3 linked regions of the Lonchura striata genome follow. The protein of the gene in region 2 binds, or shares a complex with, the protein of the main gene of each other region. Links are inferred from orthologs where the notes say so. Each region holds a gene or a part of one and is shown on either strand. Other genes may lie near its edges.

Region 1 (3,744 bases), on a different chromosome or scaffold from region 2:
CCAAAGGAGTTGAGGCCCAGTTAACTCATGGGGCAACTGGTTCTCCTCCCAGCAGGGCACAGCACTCAGGGAGGCTGACTGACTTACAGAAAGCAAAAATCTGAGAATGCAGCTGAGCACCTGTCCCATCACACCTCCCAGGGTGTGCCTTAAGGGATTCTTGTTTGATAATAATGACCTCAGTCTAGAAGAGGCCTCAGGGTACATCATATGAAGAGGCCTGCAGCATTATTGCTTATTTCACAGACAGAGAAATGGAAGCCAAAAGCAGTGAAATTTGTTGCTTGGTATCATTCAGGAGACAAGAAGAACAAAATACATCTCTTGATTTTCTAGGGAAGCAGTTAATAGCTGACAAAGCACTGAGGAAATGAGATTTTTCCACCAATCACATTACAGTTCTGGTAACTAAGACAATTCTTAACCTACTTTCTCCAACCACTTCTGCACTTTCAACCAGGAAATGCAATTACTCATGTTTTAAAACTAACTTTTTCAACAACCAGTGGAATATTACAGGTAAACTTGTTTAACAGACTGTTGTACATAAAGAAAGGCTGCACAGTGCTTAGCTGGATGAGCATGACAATGTTGTGAAAGTTTTACTTACATGTAATCTGCCTCTAAGCTCTCTGTCATTCCTCATTTTGACATAGATTCGCTCATCTAGACTGAGTCTGATGAGATCAAGTGGCTCCTCTACAGTATTTGTTGTTTGTTGCTAAAAAAAAAAAGCAGCATTATTTGTACAGAAGAAGCCTGTCAGCTTTTCCACTCCTCAATGTGCGACACAGAAAACAAAGGAGTGAAAACACAGATGCAAATAATTCAAATTACTCCATGACATGTTAGAGAACCTGAGTGCTGCTGATTTACCACTCCACTGACACTCCGCAGCCCTGAGCAATGCGAGTCAAAATATTTCATTTTAGCCTGCAGCAAATCATTCTTTACACACAGGGGGACTGGAACTGGATGATCTTTAGGACATCACAAAAACCATTCTATAAGCAGTGAACTGTTTTTCCTACCGGCAGCCACAGTTTACACTGCAGGAACCAGCAGCATAGCTGTGCCGTGGCACGGCACAGCTGAACCAGCCGAACCCACGCTGCCTGCGGTGCCGGCACAGGGAGTTACCTGGGCACACCCAGGGGGCTCTCGTGTGCCGGGGTACATCCCGGGGGATCTCGGGTGCCCCGGGCACACCCCGGGGGCATCCCTCGGGTGCCCCGGGCACACCCCGGGGGCATCCCTCGGGTGCCCCGGGCACACCCCGGGGGCATCCCTCGGGTGCCCCGGGCACACCCCGGGGGCATCCCTCGGGTGCCCCGGGCACACCCCGGGGCGATCCCTCGGGTGCCCCGGGCACACCCCGGGGCGATCCCTCGGGTGCCCCGGGCACACCCTGGGGGCTCTCGGGTGCCCCGGGCACACCCGGGGGGATCTCTCGGGTGCCCCGGGCACACCCCGGGGGGATCCCTCGGGTGCCCCGGGCACACCCCGGGGGGATCCCTCGGGTGCCCCGGGCACACCCCGGGGGGATCCCTCGGGTGCCCCGGGCACACCCCGGGGGGATCCCTCGGGTGCCCCGGGCACACCCCGGGGGGATCCCTCGGGTGCCCCGGGCACACCCCGGGGGCATCCCTCGGGTGCCGGGGCACACCCCGGGGGGATCCCTCGGGTGCCCCGGGCACACCCCGGGGGGATCCCTCGGGTGCCCCGGGCACACCCCGGGGGGATCCCTCGGGTGCCCCGGGCACACCCCGGGGGGATCCCTCGGGTGCCCCGGGCACACCCCGGGGGATCCCTCGGGTGCCCCGGGCACACCCCGGGGGGATCCCTCGGGTGCCCCGGGCACACCCCGGGGGATCCCTCGGGTGCCCCGGGCACACCCCGGGGCGATCCCTCGGGTGCCCCGGGCACACCCCGGGGGGATCCCTCGGGTGCCCCGGGCACACGCTGCCCCCCACACTCACCGCGGCCAGGCCGGGCCCCGAGGCTGCCGTGAAACCCCAGCACCCAGCGGCCTGAGGCCCCTTGCTGGGCGAAAGGCGCACTTCGAGAATCACAATTTAAAAAAAGTGTGACGACCTCCTCCACATCTTCCATACACATCCCGTATTTCCCTTCTAGCTGCCCCCGTCCTTCAGAGCCCGGGGCACTGCCCTCGGCGGCTTTCCCCCTTCCCCTCCGCGGGCAGTGCGGGGTCGGCGGGCCTGCAGCGAGCCCTGCCCGCGGCCCGGCAGCGGCGCAAGCTCGGAGCCGGCACGGAGAGCTCCCGGGCTGCCCAGAGCTGCCTCCCCTGCGGCCCGAGGGAGCCCAGAGCGCTCACCTGGTCCACCTCATCCGCCATCATTCAACGCGCCTCCCGCGCCCGCCCGCGAGACTTTATGGCCCGGCCCCTTCCTTCCCTCCCCTTCCCTTCCCTCGCCTTGCCCGCCGCGCCCTCCGCGGGGCGGGCCGGCCCGCGCCATGGCCAGGAAGCGCCGAGCGCCGCCCCGGCCCGCCGCCGCCAGCAAGAGGCGCTCCGGGCGGCCGCCGGAGGACGAGCCGGAGGAGGGTGAGGAGGGTGAGGAGGGTGAGTGCGGCACGGAGGCCGCGGCGGGCCGGAGCTGCGCCGCCGCCGCGGCTCGGGCCGCTCCAGCCGCGGGGTCGGCTCGGGAAGGACGGGCGCGCCGGCCTGGAGGAAGATGGATGTTATCGCTGCGTTATCCAGGCGTTAAACCCGCGTGTGACTCGTCCCCCACGCTGCCAAAGGCTGAGCAGCCCGTGCGGGGCTGTTTCATCTCGGCCGTGCTCTCCTGAGCAGCGGCATGCGAGAATAACTTGTTATGAGTGGCAAGCACGATGCTTGGTTTTCCGCCGATTCCATCGGTAGGACTGTAGGAATCTTTAGGTACTTCTTGTGAGTTATGTAGGTATTTCTCTCCAACAAGTCTCACTGTTCAAATCCTGCTTGTTTGTAAACAAACAATGACATGCTCAGCATTGTGATTGCTCGCATTCTTCTGAAGCTGCCTCTAATGAAGGCCATGGAGATATTGTTTCAGATGGCCATGGAGATGAAACTCTGTCCTCTAACATTAATCTTCATTTCTTTTGTCATTTGCAGATGATTTTGAAGAGAAAAAGCCCAGTATAAAAAAGACCTCAAAAGCTCCAGCTAGGAAAAAGGGAGATGATTGTGATACTGAAGTTTCCAACTCAGCAAAAACTTCCAAACTTTCAAAACAAGAAGAGGCAAAATCACAAATAAAAGAAAGTAAAAAGAATGCTAGAAATAAAGATAATTCTATCAAAGAAGAAACATGCAGGTAAATTTATTTATCACTCAAGTCTATAGGACCTTTTTCTTACTTCTTTCTGTGGTTTGATGGTCAAATACTCAATCGGTTGTTACTGATGCAGAGATCATGCTTGATTTGTTTCTCTATTTTTAGTCTTTGATAAACAAGCACCTGTGTTTCCTGGTGCTACCACTGTTTTGTGATTTTAACAGTGACTCACTGAAGCATCCTCAGACGGAGATAAAATTAAAGACAGAATCTCCTGTTAAAAAAGAAATGGATGAAGACAATACTGACAACAATGATGATGATGATGAAAGTGAAGATGAATGGGAGGATGTGGAAGGTAACAATTGCATATTTTTTCATGTTAAGCACTTTTTTTAAGAGCCTGTATATCACAATGATTCCTCAACAGCAGGTGACCAACATCCCACAGTAATTTCAATTAACT
Region 2 (3,744 bases):
GTAGGACCCCCCAGGACACCCCCACTGTCTCCGGGGACCCCCAGGACACCCCCCGGGATGCCCCGTGGGATCCCCCCCCGGCCCCCGGTTGGCACCTGGTGCACGATCACGGCCGTGACCCGCCCGTCGTCCCCCTCGTACTCGAGGCAGAAGAGCCGCGGTCCCCGGGCCGGCTCCGGGGGGGCCCCGCCGCCCGCGGGGGGCGGCCCCGCGCTGGCATCGGCCCCGGGCCCGCCTGCGGCACCGCGCCTCAGCTACCGGGGCCGCCGGGGCCACCGGACAGCGTCCCGGCGGTGCCCGTCCCCATCCCGGGTGTCCCCAATTCATGGATGTCCCCATCGCAGGTGTCCCTCCAAATCCCCGGGTGTCCCGCACCCTCGTGTCCCCATCCCCACCCTCGGTCCCCCGGTGTCCCCGCACCCCCGGTGTCTCCGCTCCCCGGTGTCCCCCCCCACCCCCGGTGTCCCCCCACCCCGGTGTCCCCGGGGCTGCCGCCCCTTCCCCGCCCATCCCCGGGCTCCCCGCACCGCGGTCCCTCGGGAGCGCGGCTCTCCCGCCCCGGTGCCCCCGTGCCCCGGTGCCCCCGTGCCCCGGTGCCGCTCACCGCCGCCCCGCTGGGGCCGGTACACCGGCTGGTCGGGCCGCCGGGGCCGCGCCGGGCCCGGGGTCAGCCGCGTCCTCGCTCGGCCCCGCGCCTGCCGCACCGCGCGCTCGTACGCGTCCCTGCGCGGCGGCGGCACAGCGCGGTTACCGGCTGCGGGGGCCCGGGACCGCCAAACCGGCCCGGTGACCCCGCCGCACGCCGGTCCCGGGGGGGATGCCGGTACCTGGCGAGCTGGTTGCGGCGGATGTGCCGCACGAAGCCGTGGCTCATGTCCAGCCGTCCCCCGGGCCGGCAGCGCCAGCCCGGTGCCGCCGCCGCCGCCGCCGCCTCCATTCCCGGTACCGGCGGCCGCGGTCTGGACCGGGACGCGGCTCCTTTAAGAGCCCCGCGGGCCCGGCGCGCGCGCGCAGGCGCAGTAGCGCCTCCTCCCCGCAGCGGCGGCCGCGCATGCGCGGAGTAAGGCGGGCGGTTTGAGCCCCCCTTCCCCGCGCCGCGCATGCGCACAGCGGCCGAACCGCCGCCATGTCGAGCCGGGGGCGGCGGGACCGCGACTCCCGCGACCCCCGGGAGCCCCGGGAGCCCCGGGAGCCCCGCGAGCCCCGCGGCGCCTCCCGCAGCCGCCGCGACGCCGACGCCGAGCGGCCGCGGGGCCGGCGGGACGCGGAGCGGGAGCGCGCGCGGCGGGAGGCGGCGGAGGCGCTGCCGGTGGATCTGGCGCGCGTCAAGCGGGAACCGGGCACCGGCACCGGCACCGGCAGCGGCGTCTGGGGGGGCTCCGGCAGCGCCGCGCCCGTGCGGGTGAAGAGGGAGCGGGAGCCCGATGGAGACTCGGACCCCGAGCCCGAGCCCGCCGGTGGGCACCGGGAGGAGCGGGTGGGACCGAGGGGCTGGGGGACACCGGGGCTGGGGGGACATTGGGGTGTGAGGGGACACCGGGGGTGAGGGGACACCGGGGCTGAGGGGACACCGGGGCTGAGGGGACATTGGGGTGTGAGGGGACATTGGGGTTGAGGGGACACCGGGGCCGAGGGGACAATGAGGGTGTGAGGGGACACCGGGGGTGAGGGGACACCGGGGTGTGAGGGGACACCGGGGGTGAGGGGACACCGGGGGTGAGGGGACATTGGGGTGTGAGGGGACACCGGGGGTGAGGGGACACCGGGGGTGAGGGGACATTGAGGGTGTTTGGGGGGTTCTGGGGTGGGAGTGGGGTATTTGGGGGGGGGGGGTTGGGGTGGGAGTGGGGTGTTTGGGGGGTTCTGGGGTGGGAGTGGGGTGTTTGGGGGGTTCTGATACTGGAGGGTCACCAGGACTGGTCCCGGGGTCCTGAGCTCAGCTCTGGGCAGGGTTTGGAGGCTCAGCCCTGGAGGTGTCACAGAGGGGGCTGGGGGGATCATCCTCGTGTTTTCGGGGTCCTCGTGCCCCCTTTTCACACCCTGCCCTCCCCAGTGCGCTACGGGCGCTTCGACCCCGAGGACCAGCGCAGCCGGCACTGCCCCTACCTGGACACCATCAACAAGTGGGTGACGGGGCTCTTTGGGGTGCCCCTGGGGGTCCCCCAGCTGCCCCCCAGCCCCGTGACACCGCTCTGCCCCCCAGAAGTGTCCTGGACTTCGACTTTGAGAAGCTCTGCTCCATCTCCCTGTCCCACATCAACGTCTATGCCTGCCTTGTCTGCGGGAAGTACTTCCAGGGTGAGAGCTGCTGGGGCATAGGGACAGCCAGGAGTGATGTGGGACACCCGAGGGACAGCCAGGAGTGATGTGGGACACCCGAGGGAGAGCCCAGGAGTGATGGGGGACACCCCAGTGCTGCTTTGAGGGACACTTGGGCATAGGGGTGGTGGTGAGGGGGACACCCAGGGACTGGGGTGAGGCACAGGGGGTCTGGGGTGTTGCTGGGGACACCCAGGGACAGGGAACAGCCAGGGACAGGCTGCTGCCAAGGTGTACAAAGAGGGGAGGGACACCATGGGGACACCCAGGGTGGCTGCTGGGGTGCTCAGGGACCCTCCAGTGGGCACAGCCCCCGTACGTGCCCAGGGGATCCTCTCTGTGCCCCCTGCCTCTGGCACGGCGCTCGGTGCCATCCCTGGTGCCACTGTCCCCCACAGGCCGCGGGCTGAAGTCACACGCCTACATCCACAGCGTGCAGCTGAGCCACCACGTGTTCCTCAACCTGCACACGCTCAAGTTCTACTGCCTGCCCGACAACTACGAGATCATCGACTCCTCCCTCGAGGACATCACGGTGCGGGGGCACTGGGGGGCACCGGGGCTGCCTTGGGACCTCCAGGATCGAGGGGTTGGGATCTGTTCCAGATTGAGGGGTTTGGGTTGGGGTCCCCCAGCTCTGAGGGCTCTCTCCCCCCACAGTACGTGCTCAAGCCCACCTTCACAGCCCAGCACATTGCCCACCTGGACAAACAGGCCAAGCTGTCCCGGGCCTACGATGGCACCACGTACCTGCCTGGCATCGTGGGACTCAACAACATCAAGGCCAACGACTACGCCAACGCTGTGCTCCAGGTGACACCTGGGTTAAGGCTTCCTTTTGGGGTGAAACGCCCCAGAACATCACTGTGGGTCTGACAGGCAGATATCACACCTTGTCTCCTATGGGCTGTACACTGTGAGGGTGTCCAGGCTTCATTCTGGGCTGAAACCCTCCCAGAATCCTGTTCTGGTGCTCTCTGGGATGAGTCCCACCTCTTTTCCCACAGCATGTTCACATGGGGAGTGCTGCCTTCATTTTGGGCTGAATCCCCTCTGAAATCCTCCTCAAACCCCACATTGGGGGTCCTGAGGGTGGATCCCACCTTCTCTTCTACAGGTGTTACACCTGGGGGGTGCAGCTGGCCTTTTAGGGTGAAAGCCCCACATAAACCTCCCCAAACCCCTCTGTGGGGTGATCACCCCACCTCTGGATCCTTCCCAGGCTTCTCCACCCATGGGGGCTTGGGGGCTTGTGGAGATTCCCCGCCCATGGCAGTGCAGGGCCTGCCCCAAAGCCCCTCCCAGATCCCTCCTGTGGGGGTCCCAGGGCTGAATCCCCCTGCTCCATCCCCAGGCCCTGTCCAACGTGCCTCCCCTGAGGAATTACTTCCTGGAGGAGGAGAACTACCGGCGCATCCAGCGCCC
Region 3 (3,744 bases), on a different chromosome or scaffold from region 2:
CTTTTTGACTCTCCCCTCCCTACAGAGGAAGTCAATTATTTCCCGAGATGCACAAACCAAAAATGCAACAGGGACTAAATCAGCATAGCACATCCTTGCAAAGGAAACAAAGAACTGAAGAACAGAAAAAAAAAAAAATACAGAAGGGAAAAAAAATATTAACCACTACTTTTACTGATATCTTTTTCATTATCAGCTGAGAACTTCTAAAGAGAAAGAGCTTCACTGGTTTTGGGATCAAAATAAGAGTAAGTCTAAAGCATGGACTTCCTCCATGGGGAAAATATGTCCCCAGAAGAGACATGAGATCTGATGCAGACATGTATCTATGTCTTGCTGAAAATTCAGCAGGTTCTTTTTCAAGGGCAACACAGTGTACCCCAGTGTAACTGGATGGTAGGAATTTCACACCATACAGGGAGTCAGAACATATGTTATCCTTTCAACATGCAGAACAATCATCAAAGCAGATAAAAGGCTTAGAAATTAACACAGGATGGCACCTGCTCTGACACACAATGGAGAAGTGCAAGATGGGTAAAACAACACAATGGAGACAACTCCTCATTCATACAGAGCCAACTTAGACTCAAATATTTCCACTTTAGCCCTCCTCTAACCACAAAAAAAAATTGGAAGTCCAGGCTTTGTGGCCAGCTATGCAGATAAGCTACTTAAACTTCCTGATGTAACGGAACTACCAGGAAAGCTCAGCTTAAAGGAGTTGAATACCATCACCAGTCGATTAACAGGCACAGAAAGTCAACACACGCAGCCTCTGATGACTCACCATAGTTATGTTATTTCCATTGAGCAGAATCTGGTCCAGCTTTGTGATTCTTCTGCCCTCAGGTGTGATCTCACTGAAGGAGCATTAGAAAGAGTAAGTAAGAACACAGAACCAGGGACAATGGCTCCAGATTCGACCATAGAACTGACAGAAATCTCTGCATTAAGGTGACCATGGTTGGAACTAACAAATAAATCAGCTACACTGCAGCATGATCTTGATAAATGGAGCACCTAGGTACAGAAAGCTAACTGAAAAGGTCTCTTCTACTCAGTACATGGAGATGTGTATTCACCCTCTACAGGCTGACAATTTTTTGAATATACATATCAACATGATATGATAAAGTAAAAACATTTAAGTTAGCTACCTCGCTGAATATTTGCCTAGGTCTTAAAGAAGTGTAAAACCAAATTAAGTACTGGAAAGTTTCTCACACAACCCATGCATAATTAGGACTACAAATAGGATCCCCATACAAGTATAAACCACGCAATAGCTACTCTATGACATGGCTGTCCTGAACAGATCACCTTCTATAGTTTTAAGTCCAATGTTAAACTAGTTAGCTGGTAATTATTCCATAAATGTAGAAACATTTTTCTAGCAGACCTTACATAGTGTTTTGTTTCAGTGAACCAAACATTAAATAGCAACAATAGGCAGAAAACGTACTTACAATTCTGTAACATCTTCTAGCACCATATCTGAAAATCCAGTTTCAAGGAAAATAACGCCCAGATTTTAAAACTAGACTAATTAATGCTATTTTCATCTTAGGCCAAATGCAATTTTACCTGAAAGTTGAAAATACCAGAATACAACCAATCCATATAAAAAGGTTCTAGTCAGTGAACTAAAAACTCTGAAGAGCTATAAATCACTTAGACCAGAGCATGAATCAGACAGACTTAAACATCCATCAAAGGATACTGACAAAGTCATCAAATCCTAGAAGTGTCCCAACTATTTCTTTGTCGCTTTTCATCACGATGTGAATGCGTGAACCGATGCACTTGTCCACAAGTTCTGTAGATACACAGAAAAGCATAGGTTCTACAAAGCAAGTGTTTCGTGCCTTACGGGTTTTTTTCTGCTTATTTACACAAACACAGACACATTCCACACAACCTTACACACTCCCCCTCTACTCTCCCACACAAACCACCCACCCCCCCGATCCTTACACCCATCCCCACTCCCACTGGCCTCCCTCAGACAGTCCCACAGCCCCACACCTCACCTCAGCCCCCCGACCCCAACACCCCCACACCTATCCCCCACTCCCATCCTCCCGGGCCGTGCGCGGGCCCCGCCGCCCGGCGCTCCCGCTCCCCGCCCGGCGCCAGCGCAGCTCGGCTCCCCAGAGGGGCCGCAGCCACCGCGGCCCCCGCACAAGGACCACGGGCCGGGCCCCGACCGGGGGCCGGGAATCCCCCGTGGTTACCGAGCGGCAGGAGCTGGGACGGGTTGGACACCGCGCTCGCCGCCATCTCGGAGCCGGCCCTGGCCAATGGCCGCCGCCTCCGCCCACAGCGACGGGGCCGGGCCGGCGGCCGCACCGCCCCCGGTGCAGGCGGGGCCCGGGAGCCGCGGGCTGCGCTGCCTCCGCGTACGGACGAGACTCGAGCGGGGCTCCCTCTTTTCCCTCTTCGTTCCCGTGCTGCCGGCCCAGGCTAGCGGCGCCGGCGGGGCTGCCGCCATTTCGATGTGCCCCCGCGCCAGGACCGCGGGCTGTCTGCTGTGCGCCGGAATGGCTCAGCTGCTGCGGCACCACGGAGCGGGCAGGTTGGAAAAGATCTCCCACGAATCCCACCACGTCAGCCAAAACATAGCACTCAGTGCCACATCCAGTCTTTCCTTATACAACTCCAGGGACACTGACTTTACCATCCCCTTGGGCAACTTCTCTGTGATTCTTTCTAATGTCCAACCTAAACCTCCCCAGCACAGCTTGAGGCTGTCCTCTCGTCCTGTCACTTGCTACCTGGGAGAAGGACACCAACCCCTGCCTGCCTCTGTGTACAACCTGTTTTTGGGCACGTGTAGAGAGTGTTGAGTCCCCCAGGTTTCTTTTTCTTGACACTGAACAACACAGCTCCCTCAGCAGCTCCTCGGGGAACTCGAGCTCCAGTTGCCCTCCTCTGGATTCACTCCAGCACCTCAATATCCTTCTTGCAGAGAAGGGCCTATTGCCAGATGAAGAATTGTTTGCACAATGGGTGGGTTAATACAACGCTTATTCTTCAAAAACCATTGACCTATGGAACTGCACAATGCTTATTCTGTAGGAAGAAGAATTGGAAAGCAGCCAGCCCAGTTGTGCCAACTTTTACCAGTTCAATAAGCCATCAGCTGTGACTTTGGTGTCCCTGACCACCAGGGATTACCAAAGAGACCCCCAGGACAGAGCACATGGAGAGAGGGGAGGGAACGTATGTTAATGACTTCAGGGAAATGATCCTCATATATATGGTTCTTCTAGGAAATCCTATCAATATGTATGTAAAATACAGCATGAATAAGATTTCGGAGGACCTATCCCGTCATGCATCCAGATGAATAAAGAATGCTGGCTTCTTAATGCTACATTAGTGTTAAGGAGTTTTTATTTTCACTGACTTTTGGTAACAGGCCCACAGCTGAGCACAGGATTTGAGGTGTGGCCTCACCAGTGCTGAGCACAGGGGAACAGTCACTGCCTGCTGTTGCTGGCCCCTCTGTTTTATGTGCAGATTTTCACCCCCCACATTTGTCCGTTGACTCACTAGAGGTGGCCATGTGGGAGGTTTTTGAAGCCATTCAGTAACTTCATCCCACCACCATTCCCAGCTGGCTTCATCTGTGCACAGTAGCCACAGGGGGCAGAGACAGCCCTCTGGGCCTCCTGGGCATGGGGAATGCTGCACATGGGGGCCACTGGCTATCACTCTGCATCACAGGAAGCCCCCAAC

Evidence for each region.
Region 1: USP39 (region 2) and LSM3 share a complex: the UniProt entries of both Homo sapiens proteins name them as parts of the U4/U6-U5 tri-snRNP complex. The link is inferred for Lonchura striata from reciprocal best matches to the Homo sapiens genes USP39 and LSM3.
Region 3: USP39 (region 2) and LSM5 share a complex: the UniProt entries of both Homo sapiens proteins name them as parts of the U4/U6-U5 tri-snRNP complex. The link is inferred for Lonchura striata from reciprocal best matches to the Homo sapiens genes USP39 and LSM5.

Annotation. Positions count from the first base shown.
Region 1 is NC_134614.1:14,624,676-14,628,419, reverse strand, and holds the start of LSM3 (U6 snRNA-associated Sm-like protein LSm3), read right to left. Parts: upstream 2,384-3,744; 5' UTR 2,360-2,383; coding exon 2,336-2,359; intron 722-2,335; coding exon 611-721; intron 1-610. Other genes in the region: XPC (DNA repair protein complementing XP-C cells), read left to right, coding at 2,476-2,581, 3,116-3,317, 3,503-3,636. UniProt on the Homo sapiens protein: Plays a role in pre-mRNA splicing as component of the U4/U6-U5 tri-snRNP complex that is involved in spliceosome assembly, and as component of the precatalytic spliceosome (spliceosome B complex).
Region 2 is NC_134634.1:362,073-365,816, reverse strand, and holds the start of USP39 (ubiquitin carboxyl-terminal hydrolase 39), read left to right. Parts: upstream 1-1,126; coding exon 1,127-1,457; intron 1,458-2,053; coding exon 2,054-2,123; intron 2,124-2,203; coding exon 2,204-2,298; intron 2,299-2,717; coding exon 2,718-2,854; intron 2,855-2,979; coding exon 2,980-3,132; intron 3,133-3,673; coding exon 3,674-3,744. Other genes in the region: C32H2orf68 (UPF0561 protein C2orf68 homolog), read right to left, coding at 96-235, 608-723, 828-937.
Region 3 is NC_134642.1:57,675,768-57,679,511, reverse strand, and holds the start of LSM5 (U6 snRNA-associated Sm-like protein LSm5), read right to left. Parts: upstream 2,342-3,744; 5' UTR 2,284-2,341; coding exon 2,238-2,283; intron 1,820-2,237; coding exon 1,724-1,819; intron 1,498-1,723; coding exon 1,470-1,497; intron 864-1,469; coding exon 791-863; intron 1-790. UniProt on the Homo sapiens protein: Plays a role in pre-mRNA splicing as component of the U4/U6-U5 tri-snRNP complex that is involved in spliceosome assembly, and as component of the precatalytic spliceosome (spliceosome B complex).